4 linked regions of the Arabidopsis thaliana genome follow. The protein of the gene in region 2 interacts with the protein of the main gene of each other region in a pairwise test. Each region holds a gene or a part of one and is shown on either strand. Other genes may lie near its edges. The genes, in order: CBL9, CIPK1, CBL3 and SOS3.

What was found.
Region 1: the proteins of CIPK1 (region 2) and CBL9 interact in binary tests that used the Arabidopsis thaliana proteins (3 or more experiments, as listed by UniProt).
Region 3: the proteins of CIPK1 (region 2) and CBL3 interact in binary tests that used the Arabidopsis thaliana proteins (3 or more experiments, as listed by UniProt).
Region 4: the proteins of CIPK1 (region 2) and SOS3 interact in binary tests that used the Arabidopsis thaliana proteins (3 or more experiments, as listed by UniProt).

What each region holds. Positions count from the first base shown.
Region 1 is NC_003076.8:19,129,112-19,134,300, reverse strand, and holds CBL9 (calcineurin B-like protein 9), read left to right. Parts: upstream 1-1,996; 5' UTR 1,997-2,193; intron 2,194-2,424; 5' UTR 2,425-2,573; coding exon 2,574-2,652; intron 2,653-3,035; coding exon 3,036-3,118; intron 3,119-3,441; coding exon 3,442-3,501; intron 3,502-3,596; coding exon 3,597-3,705; intron 3,706-3,798; coding exon 3,799-3,851; intron 3,852-3,972; coding exon 3,973-4,053; coding exon of another isoform or gene 4,054-4,110; exon of another isoform or gene 4,111-4,141; coding exon 4,142-4,254; intron 4,255-4,341; coding exon 4,342-4,405; 3' UTR 4,406-4,661; downstream 4,662-5,189. Other genes in the region: LIL3:2 (Chlorophyll A-B binding family protein), read left to right, coding at 1-83. UniProt on the Arabidopsis thaliana protein: Acts as a calcium sensor involved in abscisic acid (ABA) signaling and stress-induced ABA biosynthesis pathways. Contributes to the regulation of early stress-related CBF/DREB transcription factors.
Region 2 is NC_003074.8:5,988,385-5,994,974, reverse strand, and holds CIPK1 (CBL-interacting protein kinase 1), read left to right. Parts: upstream 1-1,973; 5' UTR 1,974-2,347; coding exon 2,348-2,539; intron 2,540-2,635; coding exon 2,636-2,698; intron 2,699-2,896; exon of another isoform or gene 2,897-3,759; coding exon of another isoform or gene 3,760-3,774; coding exon 3,775-3,846; intron 3,847-3,949; coding exon 3,950-4,057; intron 4,058-4,133; coding exon 4,134-4,214; intron 4,215-4,313; coding exon 4,314-4,493; intron 4,494-4,575; coding exon 4,576-4,791; intron 4,792-4,882; coding exon 4,883-4,987; intron 4,988-5,077; coding exon 5,078-5,194; intron 5,195-5,285; coding exon 5,286-5,348; intron 5,349-5,440; coding exon 5,441-5,515; intron 5,516-5,603; coding exon 5,604-5,666; 3' UTR 5,667-6,051; downstream 6,052-6,590. Other genes in the region: AT3G17500 (F-box family protein), read right to left, coding at 6,477-6,590. UniProt on the Arabidopsis thaliana protein: CIPK serine-threonine protein kinases interact with CBL proteins. Binding of a CBL protein to the regulatory NAF domain of CIPK protein lead to the activation of the kinase in a calcium-dependent manner.
Region 3 is NC_003075.7:13,407,918-13,412,958, reverse strand, and holds CBL3 (calcineurin B-like 3), read left to right. Parts: upstream 1-1,888; 5' UTR 1,889-2,335; intron 2,336-2,790; 5' UTR 2,791-2,847; intron 2,848-2,929; 5' UTR 2,930-2,960; coding exon 2,961-3,084; intron 3,085-3,249; coding exon 3,250-3,332; intron 3,333-3,457; coding exon 3,458-3,517; intron 3,518-3,591; coding exon 3,592-3,712; intron 3,713-3,832; coding exon 3,833-3,966; intron 3,967-4,083; coding exon 4,084-4,196; intron 4,197-4,293; coding exon 4,294-4,351; 3' UTR 4,352-4,537; downstream 4,538-5,041. Other genes in the region: AT4G26580 (RING/U-box superfamily protein), read left to right, coding at 70-572, 660-1,017, 1,108-1,254; CBL7 (calcineurin B-like protein 7), read left to right, coding at 4,986-5,041. UniProt on the Arabidopsis thaliana protein: Acts as a calcium sensor. CBL proteins interact with CIPK serine-threonine protein kinases. Binds calcium ions. Binding of a CBL protein to the regulatory NAF domain of a CIPK protein lead to the activation of the kinase in a calcium-dependent manner.
Region 4 is NC_003076.8:8,237,975-8,245,134, reverse strand, and holds SOS3 (Calcium-binding EF-hand family protein), read left to right. Parts: upstream 1-1,691; 5' UTR 1,692-2,004; exon of another isoform or gene 2,005-4,907; 5' UTR 4,908-4,955; coding exon 4,956-5,046; exon of another isoform or gene 5,047-5,148; coding exon of another isoform or gene 5,149-5,164; coding exon 5,165-5,247; intron 5,248-5,324; coding exon of another isoform or gene 5,325-5,337; coding exon 5,338-5,397; intron 5,398-5,484; coding exon 5,485-5,593; intron 5,594-5,701; coding exon 5,702-5,754; intron 5,755-5,873; coding exon 5,874-5,954; intron 5,955-6,059; coding exon 6,060-6,172; intron 6,173-6,275; coding exon 6,276-6,354; 3' UTR 6,355-6,652; downstream 6,653-7,160. Other genes in the region: AT5G24275 (En/Spm-like transposon), read left to right, coding at 1-185.

The sequences.
Region 1 (5,189 bases), on a different chromosome or scaffold from region 2:
TCGATGAGACTACGTTATATGACAAACAATGGCAAGCTGCATGGAAAGAGCCAGATTCATCAACAGTTTCTTCAAAGAAGTGAACAAGTTCTTACAATCTTTCATTTTCCTTTTTTTGTTATGCAATAATCTGTGAATCAGTGAAAGTTTATCTCTACTGAACTACTGATCTTCAGATTTTGTAATCTTTCTGCTTTAAAAATCTCTATGAAGTAGTCTCAAAGATAATGTATCGAAGGTCTTTGACTTGTAAAGCAGACCTATTTCGTTTTGACGCTTGATAATTTAATCAATAAGAGATTTTATTTTTTTTAATATGCTTTCTACTGTTAATACATCATCAAATAGTAGCGTTTCCAGATGGATGTTTGTGAAAAGTCATCAAGTAAGTCATATTTGTGAATTAATCAAAACCGCACTTCATCAACCAACCAACCAACCTCCAAAGAATTTGGGCTTCAGTACTAACGTCCTTTAAGGGTGTAACACATTACTGCTCTGCTCTTATTGCCGCAACTAATTTGACTCAATTTTAAGTACAAAATGGACCATTAAACTGTTGTCACTTGTCAGGACCACCGGCCCAAAATTAGTAGGGACCTTAGGACAGTTTGATATTAGTCTTTTAGTAAAAAAAAAGTTTTTTTTGTTTATCTATAAGAAAATACAATATTTTTTTAATAGATCTTAATTTTCTAAAATATCAACAGTCTATGTTTATTTTTGTGTCTGATTTAAAAAAAATTAGTTAGTTATCAAAACTTAAAACAAAAATATTAGGTCCAGGACTTTGGCATCTCCCACTTTCTTGAAAAACATGGATACTGTATGGACCTTCTTGTTTACTATTGTCATAATCTTTTTTCTCATAATCTTTTTACTATACTCATAATCTCTCCTCCTCATAATACATCTCCCACTTTCTTAACACCTCATAAGTCTTCTCATAATCTTTTTACTATCATAAAAGTTTCTGCTTGTATTGGAATGAAAGAATTTGACCATTTAATTTGGAATTCTAAACCCAATATAAAATTATAAACCACTCTTACTAGAGCCAGGATCCCAGTTTCAAATTTAATATACGTAACATGCATGATTTGGCCATGTCTTATGGATATGCTAATCCATTTCTTTTTTTTAGGCGAACATTATATAGTTTACATTATTGGATTGTTGGATGGCGTACGTACTTAATTAGTTTCAAAATTTGATAATATACATGATTAGATCATGTCTTATGGTTTATATAAAAGTAATTATGTTAATCCATAATTCTTATTTAGACCGCCTTTATACTATTGGATTTTTGTTTGTCCTACGTGATTGATTAGACTACTAAAATGTGACCAGAATTATTATAATTCTTCGTTTATCCCAAAAGGTATATGACCCATATTGAAATTATTATCAAACACACTCTACATGAATCTTGAATATATAGATAAATACAGTAATTAGTCCCCTTGCTAGTTGGGTTATCATATTAATATTTATTTATTGCAAGATCTTGAAGACTATGAGATCTTGACATCTGTATGGATTATGAAAATGAAAGATCCAATTTGAAAATTATATCTTATACAAATAAATATCATTCTTAGTATCTTTTGAGTATGTTAAATCTTGACTCTACAAGTACTAGTTACCTCTCTACACTTTTTTTTTCTTACAGTTATAAACTTACATAAAAACAAAATTCGAGTCTAAATATTTTTCTTTTAATAAAAAAACAAAAACAAAACAAAATCATTGCAGAATTGTAAGAAAACTTGTAAAAATGATTAACTTTCTTAACCAATAAAAAAGGAAAGTTGAAAGTTGAAATTTCGAAACTAAAATGTCAAACAACAATAATGGCTTTGTTTTCTTCCCACACTGTAATAAAAATAAAATAAAAATGGGGTTGGTAGAAAAAAAGAGGTAAAAATGACAAGGATGTGTTTCACACGCGTTCAGACCCTCACACGTGCGACGATCATGTTATAAACAAACTCTCTCATAATTTCCCCAATCGGAGGCCTCTGACGAACAAAAAAAGCCCAGCAAAGTCTGAAGTTAATCTCAGCCGTCCGATCAATTCATCTACCATCGTGGTCAGAGATCTTCTTCTTCGTCTCTCTCTCGTTTCTCAAAAATCAAAATCCCTTCCTCTCTCTCTCTCACCGAGCCGGCGAGCCCGTTCTCTCGGTGGTAAGTGCTCAATTTTTCGATTTCACCATTCAGTTTCTGGGTTCGGAGATTCTCGAGCCGCTCCTACATTACCTGTTTAATTTCCGATTTAATATTCAAAATTTTGTTAATCTGAATTCGATTGCCACATAGCTGCTGCTTATTTTTTCTAGGGTTTATACTTATTCAATTATCGTGTTCGTCTTTTAATTCAATTTTTGTTGGGTTTTGTTTTTGATTGAATCATTGTAGTTTTTAAAGATGCTTATGATGATGATGGGGAGTGAGTAATATCAGAAATCAAGCTTTTTCACAATCTCAGAAATTGTAGTAGAGTTTGGCGATTTTATCAACCTCCGGAACAAGCTTCTTCTTCTTCGTTTTACTCTTGTCATCCGTAAATGGGTTGTTTCCATTCCACGGCTGCCAGAGAATTTCCCGATCACGAAAACCCTGTGAAGCTTGCTTCTGAGACTGCTTGTAAGTTTACTTGCACTATACGTTTCGTTTTCTCTTCTTTGCTTTATTCTCAAAGAGCATGAGCATAAAGATCTCTCTTTTATCAATTGTTAACTGATATGAGAATCTGTTTTCGCCATTTATTGAATCCGAAAAATGGTTCTTTCATTCATAATCTATTTGATCTACAACTTTGTTAAATGATGCTTGTTGTTACTTAAGTCATCACATAAACCTATTTCAATAGTTTCTTGGATCATTAGTGTAGTTTACTTCTACTTTCAAATGGAATCTTAATCAGAGAAAGTTTTCAAGAACCATCACTTTCGATTTTTGTTTTGGTGATATACATGATGTTGATGAGAAATCTCGCAGTGTGGCTAATTATTTGTTTGTTTTTCTAGTTAGTGTTAGTGAAGTTGAAGCATTGTATGAATTGTTCAAGAGCATAAGCAGCTCGGTTGTTGACGATGGCTTGATAAACAAGGTAATGATAAATCTCATAGCCCTTTGATTATTTCGCACCTCATGGGAGAATCTTGAATGCGTGATGTACAGTGACATAATAATATTCATTGCACCATTATCCATATTCCGTATTATTTGTCAACTTTCTTGACTTTCACAAATTTATTATTGAATCTCCATGCTGAGCTGTGGGCTCCTTATTGCTCACCAAGTCTCTGTGTTGATGATAGTTGACTTGAATTTTAATTCCATTTTTTATATTGGTTTGCTTATAAAAATTGATGTTTTCTTGGCCCACTCTTGGATATTGTTACTTATTTTCTCGACCAACTTGTTATGCAGGAAGAGTTTCAACTTGCTTTGTTCAAGAACAGAAAGAAAGAAAATTTGTTTGCCAATAGGGTAAATTCTAAGTTTCTTTGGCCTTAGTAACTTTGTAGTTAGTCGTAACGATTAGTTCTATTATAAGTAGTTAATGGTAATGCTCTTTTTTCCAGATATTTGATTTATTTGATGTTAAACGAAAAGGCGTAATTGATTTTGGAGACTTTGTGAGATCACTCAATGTTTTCCATCCTAATGCTTCCCTAGAGGAGAAAACAGACTGTAAGTTGACCCATAAACGAGTTTATATCCATCGTCGTTTCTCTAAAGCCTTGCTGTACTTTTATTCATGTTATTCTGTATTTCATATATCAGTTACCTTTAGGCTTTACGACATGGACTGCACAGGCTTCATTGAGCGCCAAGAGGTAAACAATGGTCCTATATCTTCACATTCCATTCCCAAACAATCTATGTTTCAAAGACTTTCAGTATTATGGATTCTGCATCATCTATAAGTAATCATAATTGTGTATGCGTTTTTGGCAGGTGAAGCAGATGTTGATTGCACTTCTCTGCGAATCTGAAATGAAACTGGCTGATGATACAATAGAGATGATACTTGATCAGGTTTACTTGTTGTCTATTACAAGTTTGTTTTCTGTCAAAAGAAAGACTGTTTTATGAAACTCGAGTTTTTTTTTCTTTTCGTGAACAGACATTTGAGGACGCAGATGTGGATCGGGATGGAAAGATTGATAAGACAGAATGGAGCAATTTCGTTATCAAAAACCCATCTTTGCTTAAAATCATGACTCTTCCGTATCTCAGGTATGTCTCCTTACTATGATACTTCCATCTATTTGGCCAGTTTTGGTGCCATTTTCCAAGTTTGAGGACTTAAAAACTCAATTTTAGGGATATAACGACGACATTTCCGAGTTTCGTATTTAACTCGGAGGTGGACGAGATTGCGACGTGAAAGAGACAAGACAAGCTGGTTTATAGAGACCAAGTCGTAGGCTGGACCAAGAATAAAAAGAAGATTGATTCCAACAATGTTATATAGCAGGATCGAGCTCTATTTCCTTTGGAATTTTTAGTCTATTGGATTTCAATTTCATGTATTGCGATTACTTTTGGCTCTCTTTCTTTAACAGTTTTGAATACTCAAGTTGTAGTTCTACGAAAAGATTAATATAAAACCACAATTTCTGATTAAAGATTTGATTTTGCTCATAAATTATTCCAACACTTTATGTTTTATGTAACGAGAAATCAAAGTCAAATATGCTTAGACAGAAGAAATTAGCCATATAAATCAATTTATTATTATTAAGGGAATTGAAAACTTCAAAAATACCAAAATGAAACTAAAATTATAATCAAACCAGACCTGAATTTATTGTAACCGATAAATCCGAATTGACGTGTGTGGTGCCGGCTTTGAGATGAAGACAGACCAATGATGATCCCAGTAGCTAAAGAACTCAAGCGGATTCAGACATTCCATGCTGTGGAGTGATTCTCTCTAATCCCCCTGTACGGCGACGCTTTTACATATCCTCCATGTTCTTTGACTACAAAAGCCAAGTTTGAGGATCATTTAGTTGAAACTCAAGAGTTCAGACAAGAATCATTTGTATGAAACTCAAGAGTTGATACCAAAAAGAAATTTCTCACGGAAGATGACACTTCCCCTGGCACAATCTAGATGAGCGTGATAGTGGGACGTTGTCCATATCTAAAAAAAGAAAAATGGCATG
Region 2 (6,590 bases):
ACAAAACTTCTCCTTTTAAATACTTCATTAATTGTTTACCATTACCATTGTTGATTTGGTACATATGATTTCTCGTTCCATCTTGGGTTAATATCTCTTTAATTAATATGTTTTAGGGTTATTGGGCTCGTATATGTAGTGAGAGACTCTACATAGGAAGCTAGAGTTGTAACACGTAGAATCAAAGGCTAATATTAATGTTTCTTAATCAATGGTTAATATCTCTTTAGTTTAACATTAAAAGAGCACGAGCAAAAGAATATAACAAGAGAAAATTGTGGTATAAAATATTTGCTTGAGAAAGTTTATATAACCACGAACGAGTTACTCTTTTATTTATTTAAATTTATATATATAACACACCTAGTCATCTACACACAAAAGAGAGAGAGAGAGAGGTTCTGATAACATAGATCAATCAATATGTTACTCACTGCCGGCAGCAATACTATCACCGGCCATTTTGACACGTTTGAGAGACTCGAATAATTTTAATTATTGGTTTTTTCTCCTTTTCTATATAGTATCTATTCATTTCAGCCACATCATTTACTAACTACAAATTTTAATAAAAACCTTGGGAAAAAGATGTGTAGAGAAACATGTGACATATGACCTTTTCATTACCAAAAATATGTTGGGACGACTGACGAGAGCTAAGAACCACTACATTCTTCAATAATCTATGTATCCAATAAAAAGATATAATATGGAGTTTTCCAAATTCAAGAGATTAGCCTGGTGCCCAGGCCCTGGTTTATTGAAACTTTTGGATTCTCAAAAACAATTTATTTATTTTAATTAAATACACAAACCGCATAAGAAAAACAAATATAAATTGAATGGTTCCATGTGATTTAATTAATTGTGAGCCGACAAAGGACGAGACATGAAATATAGTATAAATTACCATAGTTTTTTTTAAAAAATATTAACTTTAAGTGTATCATTAACGATTGTGTTTCTAAACGCTTGCCTATATTGCGAATTAAAAATTTGTAAAAGTCTACAACTAATATTATTAGTCTACAAAGACAGAAACAATATAAAACTGAAAGCACCATGTTTATTTCCCCCCAAACCGAAAGCACTATCGTAAAAAAGTGTTTTAAATCTAATTATCAATTCATGCACGATATCGACGTATATAAATGGTTTATTACCAAATTATCTCTTAAACTGAAAATGCCACGACAATGAAGACCTACTGTCTATGAAACCAAGTCATAAGTTCAAAATTTCCATAGAAACGAATGGGTTATGAACGCGTTGTTTAATTTGTTGTAGTGTGTATATATAACTTGATCTTAAGTTTAGGTCTCTTTTGATCTCCTCTTTTATAACAAAGGTACAAAACTAAACTGTAACTTTAAGAAATCATAGTTGGACTTCAACTTTTAAGTAACTCCAACATGAAAACTTGGAAAGTATGTGATTCCTTGTGAACTTTTATGTGTATACAAGTTTGTTTCTACATTTAAGAACTAAAATCCGAAAGCCAAATCAAAACTGCTCCAGTAACAAGAACTATAAAACTGCAAGCACCAATCTTTTTGTAGCGTTTCTTTCTGACTTTAAACCAAAAGTTCTTATGAATATATTTTTTCATCTATTATTATTTAATTTCAACATAAAACTAATGCAACAAATGACGTGGGCCTATTGATGCATACAAGTACACACATAAAATACACACATATTCGCAATATACATCATATATAGAATTATTCTGATAAATCAATATACTCTTTGCGTATATTTTCCATATTTTGATTGTTGACAGAAATAAGATCCTTTTTAAATTTCTCCTTATAATGAACATAGACATAATTTCATTTGATAGGAGTTTTATTTGACCAATAATAATAAATCTCGATAAGTACCCTACTAAAAAAATCTTATTTCGATAATATCAAATCTTATATGGTTTGTTAGATTAATCTTTTTCTTTTGTGAAGATTAATATGTTTCTAGTTATCCAATAAAAATCTGGCTAACAAAAACCAAAAAAAAATAGTTAACGAGGAATATATATATAAAAAGAAGTGAATATAATAAGAAGAGAAGAGGAAACAAAGAGAAGTAGCGTCCTCTCTTCAATTTCAACCGGCACTTTCTTCTCTTCTTCTTCTTCTTCCCAATCTTCCTCGTCTCTTTACCTACACCTATATATATATATATATATATATCTCCTTCCCTCACACACATACCTGCACAGCTACAATAATCTACTTCCCCTCTTTCAATAACGGAATTAATAGTAATCTAATCGGAAGATTCAAGCGAGAAATCGATTTGGTTGTCTGTTAATTTGTTGGGAAATAAATTGAAATAGGAGATTGATTGGATGGTGAGAAGGCAAGAGGAGGAGAAGAAGGCGGAGAAGGGAATGCGTCTGGGGAAATACGAGCTAGGGAGGACGCTCGGCGAGGGTAATTTCGGTAAAGTTAAATTCGCTAAAGATACCGTCTCCGGTCATTCCTTCGCCGTTAAAATCATCGACAAGTCTCGTATCGCCGATCTCAACTTCTCCTTACAGGTTCCCATCTCTCTATCATCATTTCTAATTTTTTTCTTTTCTCTTCTTTTACTAAATTTGTAATTTGACAGATCCAATTCTTATGAATCTGTGCAGATAAAAAGAGAGATCCGGACTCTGAAAATGTTGAAACATCCCCACATTGTTAGATTACATGAGGTCCGTATCTTAAATTTTTGTGTATAATCATCTTTGGATTATCGAAATGATTCTGTGATTAGGAAGTAAAAAGGTTTATTGCTTAATTAGTATAACAATTTTTGATTATTCTTCTGTTTGCTTGTTTCTGTTTATTTAGTATATACCTGAGTATGACAGAAAGTGATCGAATTATTGCCTGCTTATGGATGGTTATTCAAATTTTGATTCGTCATTTTAGATTGTTAGATTAGGTTTAGTAAACTATTTTTAGTTAATTTCTTCATTGTTGTTTCTTTATCTATCAAAATGGAGCTGACGAGGATTAAAAACACCTCAAATCTTGGATAATTGTTGTTTGCTTTTTGGATCTTTTTTTTTACTGTTTAGGAATATTCTTACAAGTCATTTGGTTTCGTACCCAAACATGTTTCATTTAGCTTGTTTTTCACGTTGCCAATTAGCCGCATCATTTTACATAATTATTAAGTTAATTATTCCATTATTTGATATGGTGGCTTGGCCGGTAACACAAATCTGACCTGTTCAATTCAAAGGTGGGGTCCTAAAAAAAATTATCGTGAAAAATGCAGGATATGTCGCTTGATCATCATATAATTGCTTAATCTTAGTACCCTTTTAAGCTTTTTATCATGTGGACCCTCTTTGATCTTATGCTTAGTTTTACTTTTTATTTTATTTTATTCATATAGTATTATTTCAGATGATTATTGTATGGGTCATTGCTTGCTGTATCTTTGCGTTTTATTGTTGACTTCTAATTATTTCGATTGCTTCTTCCTCTTTGCCATTTAACACGAGATTAATCGTGACTTTTGGTTAAGCAACCATTGTGGATCTTCACTTATTTGATACACGTGGTCCACTTTTTAAGCTCGTGACTAACTTTGTCGTGTCTTGGACAACTAAGTGTTTTTTATGTAATCTGTGGATATGAATGCAATTCGAATTCTAAATGTTTCTTTTTCTTTCTTGTGACTAATCTTTTGGATTCTCAAACATGAAACATCTTACCTCAGAACTCACTGTTCCTTTACCTTGAAACTAATGGCCTCTTCCTTATGGTAATCATGCAGGTCTTGGCTAGCAAAACGAAAATTAATATGGTAATGGAACTTGTTACCGGAGGAGAATTGTTCGACAGAATTGTAAGACTCTTACTAGCCTCTATGCTCAAAGCAAAAAAGATTTTTTTTCTTTTTTTGACGAGTGTCATTTTTGCTAAACTCACACTTTGATGATAACTCTCAGGTTTCCAACGGAAAATTAACAGAAACTGATGGAAGAAAAATGTTTCAGCAGCTTATCGATGGAATCAGCTACTGTCATAGCAAAGGTGTTTTCCACAGGGATCTCAAGGTCTGTGATTCTCTCACTGTGTTTCAAACCATGGAAACCTTATGGAATAGTGTACTGATGTTTTTCTATATTGCAGCTAGAGAATGTTCTTCTTGATGCAAAGGGACATATAAAGATCACTGATTTTGGCCTCAGTGCTCTGCCTCAGCATTTTAGGGTACTTGAAAATATCATCTTAAAACCATAGCATATCACAGCAGAATTATAATTGTTGAATCCGTTCGAGTTACAACTAATTTTCTCTTTGGCATTTTAGGATGACGGATTGTTGCATACAACCTGTGGAAGTCCTAATTACGTTGCGCCTGAGGTTTTAGCTAACAGAGGCTACGATGGTGCAGCATCAGACATATGGTCCTGTGGTGTAATCTTGTATGTGATTCTAACCGGATGTCTTCCTTTCGACGACAGAAACCTTGCAGTTCTTTACCAGAAGGTAAACCTCATTTTTTCTTATATATATGCCAATTCAATACACATTTTGAAGAAATAAGCTTGATAATTGATTTGATTTCTAGATATGTAAAGGAGACCCACCAATACCAAGATGGTTATCCCCGGGTGCAAGAACCATGATTAAGAGAATGCTTGATCCAAATCCAGTCACGAGGATCACAGTTGTGGGTATTAAAGCCAGCGAGTGGTTCAAACTTGAGTACATTCCTTCAATTCCCGATGATGATGACGAAGAAGAAGTTGACACAGACGATGATGCTTTCTCAATCCAAGAACTCGTAAGAATCTGCCACCCTTACTCTCTATCGCAACTGCATTTGAGTCAAGTACAATGTCCTCATTTCTCTGTCTCTCTTTTGAATGGTCTAGGGATCAGAAGAAGGGAAGGGCAGTGATTCACCGACCATCATCAATGCGTTTCAGTTAATCGGAATGTCTTCCTTTCTTGACCTGTCCGGTTTCTTTGAACAAGAGGTAACTAATCTTCTAATACTCTGTTTCAAAGATCTGCTCTCTGCTTGAGCCAATGTATAATAAAAAGGAGTTATACTTTTACTTTCTCAGAATGTATCAGAGAGGAGAATAAGATTCACTTCAAATAGCTCAGCAAAAGATTTACTGGAGAAAATCGAAACAGCCGTTACAGAAATGGGATTCAGTGTACAAAAGAAACATGCCAAGGTGGGTCTTCACAACATGGTCTTCCTCTTCCTTAGCAACTTGGAATTTCAAATCTGTAGGTTTATAAACTTTAAACTGTATTTTGTTTCAGTTAAGAGTAAAACAAGAAGAAAGAAACCAGAAAGGTCAAGTTGGTTTATCAGTAACAGCTGAGGTATATTAACTATTACGTAAACATTATTTCACTGTTCAATAGACTATTTAGTGAGATTATTTGACTAATAGAAGAAATTCTTATGATATCAGGTTTTCGAGATAAAGCCGTCACTGAACGTGGTTGAGCTAAGAAAATCTTATGGCGATTCATGTTTATATAGACAGGTATGCCACTATTGTCATTTCTTAATTAGACTGAAGAAACACATATCAAAGATAAAAATGTTTATGTTTGATATTGGGGTTGGTGCAGTTGTACGAGAGACTATTAAAAGACGTGGGCACATCCTCGCCGGAGCAAGAGATAGTAACTTAGGTGTTGGTGTTTTCGGCTGAAGAGATATACATAGCTCTAATAATTTATCATATGGAACACACCATCCATGTTCATATAATTTATTATCTTAAGTATATATAAAAGGAGCTCGATTTATATGATTAGTGCAAATAGTAATTGCATTTAAGTATAAACCGTGGCGTAGATCTTTCCTCAAGAATTAGAGATTTTATTCACTACCTTTGTATTTGTTTTTATTATTATTTGGTGTGGCAAATCTGCCTACTAGCAAAAAAGATCCCATAAAAAATCTCTTCATTATTTTTGTAAATAATATACATGTGTTTAGTTTGTATCTGTACATCATTCAATTCCGCACCAACCGATCTACGTATATAAATTTTTAGTATTATGCTATGTTGCTTTCGTCTCATAAAATACTCTCAAGAGTCATGAGTCATGTGACCTATCAACATTTAGCGTCCTGGAATGTAACAATTGTAGTTTTAAAGTTAGTCAAATTCACAACTTGTTCTTGTTTTAGTTGGAACTTGAATGTAGTGCAAATAAGCCAGGAATCAAAATAATATATCTAGTCATAGATTAATCAAACGATTTTACTACAAAAACGCAAAAACGAATAAACAAAAAAAGGAGATTGAAGAAATTACGTCCTTACCTGTATCGACTAATACTGAACCAAACTTGGAACATAATTGAAAATAAAACGGCTCACATGAGTTCATAAAAGGAATGAACTTAGGCCATTCGCCAAAATGGATTTCTGTGTATTCACGGTCCTCCCCAACAATGTATACAAGGTTCTTGCTCGCAAGTCTGTTACTTGTCTCACAACCCACATAGCAAGGCCATTCCTTTCTCCTTGTCGATGAAGAAACTGTCATACGATAACATAGCACGACCACCAATGTCTACATCTACCGTAAAGAATTTGCTCCACTG
Region 3 (5,041 bases), on a different chromosome or scaffold from region 2:
CTCAAGCTTTACTCTGTTTCTCTTTGCTCTTGTTCAGGAGATCAAATCAAAGACCTCTCTGTTTCCGATATGAGTACCCGTTATTCCTCTCAGTTGCAATCATCAGCCATTAACTCCATCACTGTCTCCTCATCTTCTTCCTTCGCTTCCACGCAACTGGATGATAACACTCACACGGCTCCGGAGAGCTCTCCATCTTCTTCCTTCTTCATGAGACTTGCCATGAGGGTATCTAGAGCAAGGTGGTTCATTTTCTTGAGAAGAGTCTTTCATTACCAGAACGCCTCAAGATCCGATCTTGGCACCAATCCTTTCAATTCTATCGCTTGGATGGTATCAGAGCTCATCGCTTTACTTTTACAGATCACTGTGATAACATCCACACTAGCTTTGTCCAAAAACGAGAGGCCTGTTTGGCCGATGAGGTTATGGATCACTGGCTACAACGTTGGATGTCTGCTCAATCTTATGTTACTATACGGTCGGTATCGTCAGCAAGATACTAGCCATGAAAATGCATTTAGCTTCGGCGATATTGAGCAGCAACAAAGAAGCAGGGAAGAGACCACCAGGTTACTAACAAAAATCTAGTTTTTTCAAGTTTGATCATAAAATGCAAAGATTTCTAGGAAAATGACTTATTTTTGTGTGTGTTTTAGGTGCTCGCATTTGATGAACAAATGCCGGACATCGCTGGAGCTATTCTTTGCGATATGGTTTGTGATAGGTAATGTATGGGTTTTTGATTCTCGGTTTGGTTCTTTCCACTATGCTCCAATCCTTCATGTCCTCTGCATCTCCCTACTCGCTTGGAACGCTCTCTGTTACTCCTTCCCATTTCTTCTCTTCCTCCTGCTCTGTTGTGTTGTACCTCTCGTTAGTAGCTTCCTCGGCTACAACATGAACGTTGGATCTTCGGAAAAAGGAGCTTCAGATGACCAGATCTCCAGTCTCCCAAGTTGGAAATACAAACTCATTGATGAAACTTCTGATTCTTCTCAAGCAAACAATGATCCGGTAAGCACTAATTTGAATTCTGAAATAGGTCAAATAGTCAGAAATCAATCTTGATATCAAAACTGAAACCCACCGGTTTCATTATTGCAGGAATGTTGTATATGTTTGGCAAAGTACAAAGAGAAAGAAGAAGTGAGAAAGCTTCCATGTTCGCATAGGTTTCACCTCAAATGCGTAGATCAATGGCTTCGTATCATCTCGTGTTGTCCTCTTTGCAAACAAGATCTCCCTAACTGAAAAATCAAAACAATACATGAGTCACAAGATTGAATCTCTGACCAAGTACCATATATGTGTTTTTTTTTTTTTCTGTTGCCGCCTAAACACGTTTACTTGTGTGAATGTCGTTATCATTCCTTTTTTTTTCTTGTGTACAAAGTAGCTCACCAGTAACTGTAATTTTACCTAAAAAAAAAGTTAAAAAACATGATCAATCTGTTGTTTTACCAGTAGAGTTTGTCCCTCTCTTACCATTAATCAAAGTTTTAATTGTTGGTTAATGTAACTAAGCTTATACTGGTTTTTGCTATAATATTTTTTCCAAAGACAATTTAAACCGAATTCAAACCCAGAGACCAAATCAGACCAAAGCAACAGTCAGAATCCGAATAACATGACACGCCGTCGTATAGGAACGATTATTGAAACGATGGTGTTTAAGACAGCGCATAAATGGACACATGCTCCACTAGACGACGACGTGTGAAAGTGAATGTAACAAGGAGTTTTATTACAACTGTATCAACATCGAGTAAAAATAAACAAAATTATTTATTTTTTAAATTTAAAAAGTATAAAAACGCCAACAAACAAAAATAATTTGGTCTTTTTCTTAGCATATTTAAAATTTTGCAATATATTCATTCTGCTTATAGAAAATCGTGTCGACCTTTTTTCTCTCACTTACCCAATAAGAGCTTTTTTCGCGTTTTCCACCGCAACCACCGTCACCTTCAACCGCCGGAGCCGCCGCAAGGAAGGCTCATCATCCGCCGTGGCGTAAGGCTTTTTCTTCTTCTCTTTCTCCCTTTTCTACGATTTCGCGGTCGGTCGCTTCCTCGTAATCTCGTGTGTTTATTCCGGGAAAATCGCGATGGGAAACAAGTTAAAATTTGAGATTGAGAATCAAGCAACTAATTTCTTCGCAAGCTGATAGATCCATGAGCTGATTACCAAGTTTATATAACGAGATTCATCGTTGTTGTATCTCTGAATCCGAACGATTTGGAATCTAAAACTCATTGGATCGCTTTTTCTCATATCCGTCATTTCTCCTTAGCTTAATCACTTCTCTGATTCATATCGCGATTAGATTCAGGTGTCGATCCTCAGAGGATTATATTTTCTGACGATTAATCCGTCTGGATAGTTTTATTATGTTCTTCATGATGCATTTTTTTTCCCCGCAAAATTCATGATGCATTTCTGACGTGAAATTGGGTGTTTTTGATTCCTCATTTTATCCTAGTTCATGTATTTTTTGGGGCTGTTTCTTAGATTTGGGTTTCGTGTTTTAGCTTAAAGATAGTTCCTAATCCATGAATACATTGGTTAATCTGGAAATGAATCTGGAGTTAAGATTAATGCATAAAGTTTACGACCGTTTATAATATGCGTCTCCTCTGTTTGTGTTTCATAGTATCTGGTGCTTTAGTCTAATTCAGATCTGATCTGAGAATGATGAATCTTGTTTGCTCCTGTCAATTCTTCTTTAACTGTTTTGCAATTTGATGAGCTAATAACTGACTATATCTCATTTCCTTCCCATCGCAGAATTTTTTGAGGTGTACAAAGCATTGCCTATTTGACGAACCAGGAAATGGTTAAAAGGTACTTATCTTGTTCAAATGCATATGTCTTTAGATTCTTCCAAGTGGTTCGAAAGTTCTTACATTTTATTGTTATTTAACAGGCATGGAGAGTTTTGATTTACAAGATATATCATGTCGCAGTGCATAGACGGTTTCAAGCATGTATGCTCCTCTTTTTTCCGGTGTTTTGATATCGATATTTACAAACAATCTGGAGGCCTTGGTGACCCTGAACTTCTTGCGAGAGAGACAGTTTGTATGCTCTCAACTTCTTTTCCATCTTATTTTAACTTCCATGCACTTTTTTTTTCCAGTTATATGTATGATTCAAAGGCTTGCCATTACTCTAGTTGATGCTCTCTGTTAAGAGGAATGCAAATCTTTCTTTCTGTGTTTTGATCATTGACTCGTTTGGGTGCAGTTAGCGTGAGTGAAATAGAGGCTCTCTATGAGCTGTTTAAGAAAATCAGCAGTGCTGTGATTGATGATGGGCTAATAAACAAGGTATGAAGGAAGGGCATCATTATATGTCTTTTATGCCACTCACTTATACTCCTCACGAATCATGCATATTGCTACGTCTTTTGGACATCCTTTTCTGATTTTCCTTGACCTGTCTTGTCGTTCAGGAAGAATTTCAGTTAGCCTTGTTCAAGACAAATAAAAAAGAGAGCTTGTTTGCAGACCGGGTATGTTCTTCTTTTTTAATCAAAAGACTTTGTTATCCATTTGCCAAGATCCTTTTTGAAAGATAACTTGACAGTACCAATCACAGGTATTCGATTTGTTTGACACAAAGCATAATGGAATACTGGGGTTTGAGGAGTTTGCGCGTGCTCTCTCTGTCTTTCATCCAAATGCTCCCATAGAAGACAAGATTGACTGTACGTCTTTGATCTTACAAAGTTGATCTGAGAAACCATCTATACAATTTATCTGATGTTGACATGCTACATGTAACCCATGAAATATCACTAACAGTTACCGGGAACATTGTTTTGCAGTTTCGTTTCAGCTATATGATCTTAAGCAGCAAGGTTTCATAGAGAGGCAAGAGGTGAAGCAAATGGTGGTGGCTACTCTTGCTGAGTCCGGCATGAACCTGTCAGACGAAATCATAGAGAGTATAATCGACAAGGTGTGGTTCCTTCCTACCCTGCTCGATACTATATTCTTGTTCCACTGTTGTATAGCCAACTCATGATAGCAGTTGAGAATAAAGTAAAGAGTGGTTTCTAAGTTTCTTCTTTCACAGACATTTGAGGAAGCTGATACAAAACATGACGGGAGGATCGATAAGGAAGAGTGGAGAACCCTTGTTCTCAGGCATCCTTCCCTTCTAAAGAATATGACTCTCCAGTATCTTAAGTGAGTTCCTAAACCAAGACTTATCCGAGGTTTAGGCAATGCAACTTCCAATTTTTTCTGTGTTATTATTAACACCGATCTCTGATATTGTGTGCAGGGATATAACAACTACATTTCCGAGCTTTGTGTTCCACTCGCAGGTGGAAGATACCTGAGAAAAACAATAGCATATTAGCAGAGGAGACAATTTGGGAATTGTGTTTGTTTTCTGATTATGTATCATGTCTATTTGTTTCAATCTCTCTGAACATTTTCAAGATTTTGTTGTTACTTGTGTGAATTAAAAGTAAAGAAAACAAATCTGTATTTTTGCTACTCCTGATTTTGATTGCTGATTTTCTCCTCGCATCTGTAGATATACTACTAACCTTGAGACATGAATCCTATTAATAAAGAGCAAACTGATGAAGTGATAATAGAGAGCAAAAAAGAGAGAACCCAACACCAAATGATCGGGTATGCTCTAGTCTGAATTCTGAAGTCAAAATTGAAATCACCGATTTGATCGAACCGGATGCAACATTACAACAATCGGATTTGTTAGTCTTGTGGTTGACTTTGTCAGTTAGAGTTGACAAAGTAATTAGCAAAGTTAGTGACGATTGTGTTCTGCATAAACACGTTTACTTTGAGGAATAAATTACTTACTCTTTCGGTCTTTCCTAATATATATGTTTTCCCTGTCTCAAAGATCTGAATAGGTATCAGAGCGCGTTGACAATCTCTTTTTTTGATCATCGATTTGTTCTCTCTTTCTTGGCTAAAAAGTTTCTATCTACACGACTCTCCATGGATTCAACAAGAAATTCAGCTTCTTCCAACTCCACGGGATGCTTTACGGATCA
Region 4 (7,160 bases), on a different chromosome or scaffold from region 2:
ATCCTCAGAAGAAATTAGCCATGGATGACCCAAAGCTGCCCGATGGAGATCCCATACCGGGTTTCAAGGGCTATGCCGTGAACATGATTGATTTGGCTCCAGAGGAGCTCACTGTTCAAACTTACTCAGGATACGGGCTTAGAGAGACTTTGTTCTATAATCTCTTTGGGAATTTACAGGTATAGAGACCCAAAAGCAAGTTAAAGCAGCTCTTCCACACATCAATGGTGGTGGTGCAGTCTCTTTAGATGGTTTTATCGCAAAAGATAACGGATTCATATATTCCGGGTGCAGGTACTTGACCTTTTCTTGATCCTTGTATCCGTTTTAGTTCTTGAATTTAAACTGTAAAGCTCAAAACTCGAGTTTTATTCCTTGCATCTGTATTTACTGCGGATGATATGATTTATGGTTTTTGGATCAGCATACCGGAATTTCATTTCCCGATTACACTAAAGGAGGATGAAGAAGTGAAGCTGAGAAAAATGGAAGCAGCAAGAGATAAAGTGAGAATGGCAGCGAAGAAGATAGAGGAGGAGAAGTGTTCAATGCGTAAGGTAGACAAGAAAATGAAGAAAACAAATGAAAAATATCACAATGTCACAAACTCATTAGAGCTAATCCAGTCTCAGTCTTTAGAGTAATGAGAGTAAAACTGGACCTAAAACGATTCAAACAGTTTGTTTACCTGTTGGTTATCGGTTTGGTTTTTGTGTTTTTGGATTAGTCACTTTTGTTCTGAAATTTCATTTTCTTTTTCGGTTAATGGTATTTTGTTCACCAATTTTCTATTTCAAAAGTTTGTTTTTGATCTTGCTGCTATGATCTTTTTAAATAACTAGATTTTTTGAACCATAACGAACATATTATAAGAAAATAGCCATGGTAGCAAAACCAAACTTTTAAAATATCACCAATCCAACAGACAAAAAGAGAATACTAGTGGGCAAAAAGTGAAGGAAAATTTATCATTTCACATCGTAATTTTTTGTTTAATTGAAAAAGTGCAAATGAAATGATGGGTCAACTATAAATAAAATAAAGATTTTGTAATTGAACTAAGAAAATAAAACTCTGTGGATCATGACGAAAGTTAGAAAAGTTAGGCACATGTAGTTTCAGTGTTGTCATGTTTTTTTTTATGTAAGAGTAGGAAGCTCTCTTATAGGACGGGTATGATCAGCTGACAAGTTCCAAACCCTATAAAAAGTGATGTACATTGTGGAATCTGGTAGCTTGACGATGATGAATGTGATATATCTCTTTCATAGTTACGTTTTCATGGTAATTGTTAAAATTTTCATAAACAATCGAGTTCATTTTTATCGGAATCATAATAATTACTACAAAAATGAGCATACGTATAAATGTAATTATCAATCATCTGTAAGAAAATTTGTATTAGTTAGTTTAAGAAATATATTAGCGACTTTTTTTTTGGTCACAAGAGTGTCCATTTTATTTATATCAAACATCAAACTAAGGTCCAAGACAAACACATCAAGCGAAGGTGTAAGACAAAATTTCTTATGAAATATATAATTAACTTTTTTAAAATTGGTGTATTTTCAGAAGTGAATAATATTTTAGGTTATTTTTATATCAAAAACTGCCTCTCATATTTATAATTTTTTAAAAGATTATTTGCCAACAACCACCACAAGTGTCAACAAAAGGAAATTAAAAAGTGAGGTGGGACTTGAAAACAGTACTACTCTAATATTTTTTTTGTTTGTCATAAATAGAAGGTCGAGGAAACATTGCTATATAGTTTATAGTACACGATATAAAAATATATTTTCAAAACCGACATAACATCGGGATCCATCTGCGCATGGACGGACACAAACCTAACCCGATGTTGGGAAGCTCGTCACAAATTTGTTCTTCTATTTAAATAACTCTCATTTTGCCCTTTTCCTCTTCCAACACCATTATTCAATTATTCAAGATCGAGACAAGTGAAGAGTCGACAAGAACATATAGAGATTCATCCATATCTTGGTTAGTTATTTTTGATCTTATTTTTTTTGTTTCTTCGATTCACCATTGCTGAGAAAATCTTTCATCTCTATCCAATGTTTTTTTTTTCTATCACTTCCATGTTTTGGTTTTCTGTTTCGTAATTTTTAGTCCACCTCAAGATATATGTAAAGGAATTCACTGTTTTCCTCTCTCTTTTTTTCGAAATGGAGGTTTATGAGCTTGAAGTTTATCCCATCTTGGGTTTTCTTCAAGAAAGAGTCAAAATATGTCCGTGTTTCCAGGAATCTTCTGATAAGATTTAGTATAATTCGGTTAAATATTAGAAAAAACAAACAAACCAAAGCAAAACCATTCTTTAAAACTGACTCAATTGAGTTCTTTAGTGCTATAGACTGAATTGAACCGTTTGATTTTTGTTTTTCTTCTAATTGAGTGTATAGTTTCCAACATTCCATTAATCATTCAATGGAATTTGGCTTTGGTTTTGGTTTCAATCGAAATCAAGTTATTTCAGATTAGAGATTACAAATTGGATCATATCCGGTTTGGTCCATCTCGGTTCGATTTTGGTGGGTGTTTAATTAGTTGGTAGCCATTAGATATTTAGAACTGTTTTTTTGTTTCTTGTGTCACTTTTGGTGATTTAGAGTCTAAGGAGAGGAGATGGCAAATTTGATTTCTTACTAAAAATCAAAGACCACACCTAATAAACTTATTTATAGCAAATAAATTATAAAAGTCAATAGCTGCAAGTTTTTTTTTTTTTCATTTTTACTATTTAAATACTTATAGAGAAAATAATTAATTTTAAAACGTCATATTGCTGCGTGGCCGGTTTGATTAAACAACATTTTTGTTATTAATTATACAAAAAGATCGCGAGAAGTAAACAACAAGATGAAAATACTGCTTCTAAATTAGATATGTCTAAGTTTGTTTACACGACGTACATTGAGTATGATTACGTATAGATCTAAAAAACAGGTAATGAGAATTTGGAGGCTCCACACATAACAAAATCAAAATGGTCCATAAATTAATACATTAATTAGAAATGTCATAGAAAAGCCAAATGCACCAAAACCTTCCTTAGGCATTAGTTGATCATTATTAATGATTCATTAATTAACCAACTAGGCTCATGTAGTTTTCAAATATATACTATATTAGATTTGAGGTTCCAAGTTCAAGATTCGCTTTGCCTGGTCAAAGACAGGCTCTGATATGTACCAAATTAAATGCTAGTATGGTTGAGGATTTTACGTGGCTTTTTTGGAACAAAACGAGATTTAAATATACTATATAGTCTCTAGATATTAGTGTAAGTGTAATCAAGCCCTTTTTGTTTTATTTATTAGTAAAACACATATAAATTGCCTACATTGAAAAAAGCAACAAAAGGTTGTCTCAATCTCGTGATTATTGATTTTTGATAAAGCATCACTTTTTAATGTGGTCCCATGGCCATTCATATTGTAACTCTTCTCTTAGTTCTCTATCCTTTTCGTTCAAAATCCATTCTAGTCTCTCTTCACTTAAAAATGTACTCACCAAAACAACTTAAATCATGTTGGGTCTGATTGGTAACACAAAACTTTAGCTGTTAGCTGGAGCGGTAAACTGTTACGAAATAGTACAAAACTGTCTAAAAGAGCTGTACAGAAAAGTTTAGAATAAAACTTTTTGTAACGTTTTTGATAAAGTTTTTTTGAATGGTAACTGTCAAAGTTGTACAGTTTGTACAACTTTGATAATGAGTTACCATTCAAAGCCGTTATTTATTCAACCTATCCGGCTTCTTATTATGTTCCTAAACTTACGACATGGTTGTATTACTCGCTTAAATGTGTTCTTGTGATTGAGTTGGACATAGGTTCAAGCTTATTTGGAAAAGAAAAGAAAACATCTTTGTAGATATTTACTAGAGTACATTGACTGATTCATGTATATACGTGGACCAACGTCGATTAGATTTGATATTGATCCGGTATTTGTATTTATGTATTATCTATATGTATGCATATATCATAGGAGACTTTGATCATTTATCTATGTTATTAGGGATAATAAAATTAGGAGTAAACTAATTATCTCTTATATCTATACACCTAGTCATTAGCGTGGCTAATACGGCGACTTGCCTACACCTTCTGTGAATTATATAATATTTGGTTTCATTACGTTTATTGTGAATCATTACTAAATTATAGATTAAATAGGGAAAACGCTGTTTTTGTTCTAATTTTGGCTACTTCTGTTAATGAATTGATTGTTTAGGGAGAGCTTACTAGCTGTCGTGAAAGCTACAACTATTTTAATGGCTAACTTTGCCACCTATATCCTATGTATTTATTATGTAAAAAAAAAAATGTATAAACCAATGACATAATCGTTCGTATAGCCGTCGACTTCTATTGTATATTTGCTCAAACGTCGACCCTTTCAAAATTTTAATATCGATGTTTGTCAAACTCTTGCAGATTTTGATGAATTCGACGCTAGATTGCCTTTAACGAAATTCAAATGTTACATATACATAGACGATATATATATACATGCATTAGATGTACATGATTAGTGCTCATCTACATTAATATTTCATGTATGTATATGTAATTAAATATTGAATTTCATTAGAAACATTTTGGTAATCTCGTGAGTTTGCCAAAATATGTTTACTTTGTTTGAGTTTGACCACAAAAAAAACACTAGAAAAGTCAATAACGTGACAAACTAAACAAGTTGCCTATTATTAATTGCACTCGATCTTAATTGGTTTGTTCTAGGACCATTTTTAGTAGAAGTAAAACCAGCGAAAACGAATGTAGGATTCAGTCGAAGGGTGTTTTATAAAATCATCAAATTATTAGGAACAATGAAATATCTGTAAATTAACCAAGATTATTTGCGTTTGGTTGTAGCGTGAGAAAAGCAAAGGCTAATAACAGTTGAGAGAAGGGTGTGTTTGTATGGGCTGCTCTGTATCGAAGAAGAAGAAGAAGAATGCAATGCGACCACCGGGATATGAGGATCCCGAGCTTCTTGCATCCGTCACGCCATGTTAGTTTTTAGTTTAAAATCTTATTAGTAAGACAATCTTTAAATGTTACAATAGCATGTTGTAGAGTTTGGTAAACTTTTTCAAATTTTATTTTACTTGTAATGGGAGGGACAATAGTCACGGTAGAAGAAGTGGAGGCTTTGTATGAACTGTTCAAGAAGCTAAGCAGCTCAATTATCGATGATGGTCTTATTCATAAGGTTTCTTCTTTCACTCTAAAAGGTCCATATGTAGACAGCAATTAGGTAATCTATATAGCTTAATTAGAGTTTAAAAGTTTGATGTTGCAGGAAGAATTTCAGCTGGCTTTATTCAGAAATAGGAACCGGAGGAATCTCTTCGCTGATCGGGTACATATAGTAACTACCTAGCTAGAACAAGTGACATTATTGAAAACATATGTAAATTTAAACAAAGTTCTGTTTTATAATATGCAGATATTTGATGTATTTGATGTGAAGCGAAATGGAGTGATCGAGTTTGGTGAATTTGTCCGGTCCTTAGGTGTCTTCCATCCAAGCGCGCCGGTCCATGAAAAAGTCAAATGTCATTCTTCTAGCCCCAAAAATTGTTTCATATTCATTCTATGTGAATTTACTTGATATTCTTTTCTTAATTGGCTAACTAACAAAGAATTTTCTCATGAATTTGCAGTTGCTTTCAAGTTGTACGATTTACGACAAACTGGATTCATCGAGCGAGAAGAAGTGAGTCCATTTACGGATACTTTGTTTTGGTACCCTCCAGATTAAACAGTTTTACTCCACTAACGTTTATGTGTGTTGATCTAACATGTATATACCATAATGAATTACATTTTGATTAGTTGAAAGAGATGGTAGTAGCGCTTCTTCACGAATCCGAACTAGTTCTTTCCGAAGATATGATTGAAGTAATGGTGGATAAGGTAATCACTCCCACACCGATGCACATTTGTTTACTAGATATTAATTCCAATACTGAAGATGATATGATAAAGAATTTATAAGGAAATGGTGGTATATATTTGCAGGCTTTCGTGCAAGCAGACCGCAAAAACGACGGAAAAATCGATATAGATGAATGGAAAGACTTTGTATCCTTGAATCCATCGCTCATCAAGAACATGACTTTGCCATATCTAAAGTGAGTTCATAATTTACACCGTGACCAACTTTGATCCAAACCAACTGCTTTGATTGTTGCATTGAATCAAATTGACTAATCAGAAGATTCTTGGTAAATGTAGGGACATAAATAGGACGTTTCCAAGTTTCGTTTCATCTTGTGAAGAGGAAGAAATGGAATTGCAAAACGTATCTTCCTAATATAAGCCATGCAAGGAAAGATAAATATACATAAAACGAATATTTTTGTACAATATCTTAAAAGAGGAAGATAGAGATGTAAGCTAGGATTTGGAAATAAACCGATCTTGATAACGATATTGGACTTGCCTTGTGTACTGTATATATTTAGTTATTTACATAGCGACTCTCCATCTCACATACATAATTACTAATTAAATATTTACAAATCTAGTCTATTATTGCTTCATTGTTGTATATACCAAAATATATGATCCACCTTTTGCGGATATTCATATTTTTGTTACATGAAAATATTCGTGTTTTTTTTAGAATAACAATAAAAAATTTGTACACACATGGTTTATTATTGTAGATAATATTAATATATATCAAACGAAATTTTAAAAGTAGATGATTTATGAAAATAATTTTTGCTTATTTTAATTAGTTCTTGAGTAAAATTATTTATACATTCTAGATATTAAATAATGTTGAATTTTTAATTGAATAAACACTTTATTATATATAAAAATTGAAAAACAAAGCAAGCCGAGGAATCTCTCTCTAATCTATCTCCAAGACGGACCAAACCAGTTTTAGTTCTATCTCTCAATCTCTCTGATCAGCTCCATTTCCAATGTAAGCCCACCAACTTCAACTCTAATCTCCATCTTCCTCTTCCTCTTCAAATTCGTTTAGTTCAACAAGTTCCCATCTTTCCAGTGTCAATCGACGATTCCTTTTTCCGTTAATACGCATGTATTTGATTCTTATTGCTGAGGAATTGAAGAACCATTTTGATCATTGTTGTACCCATTGATGTC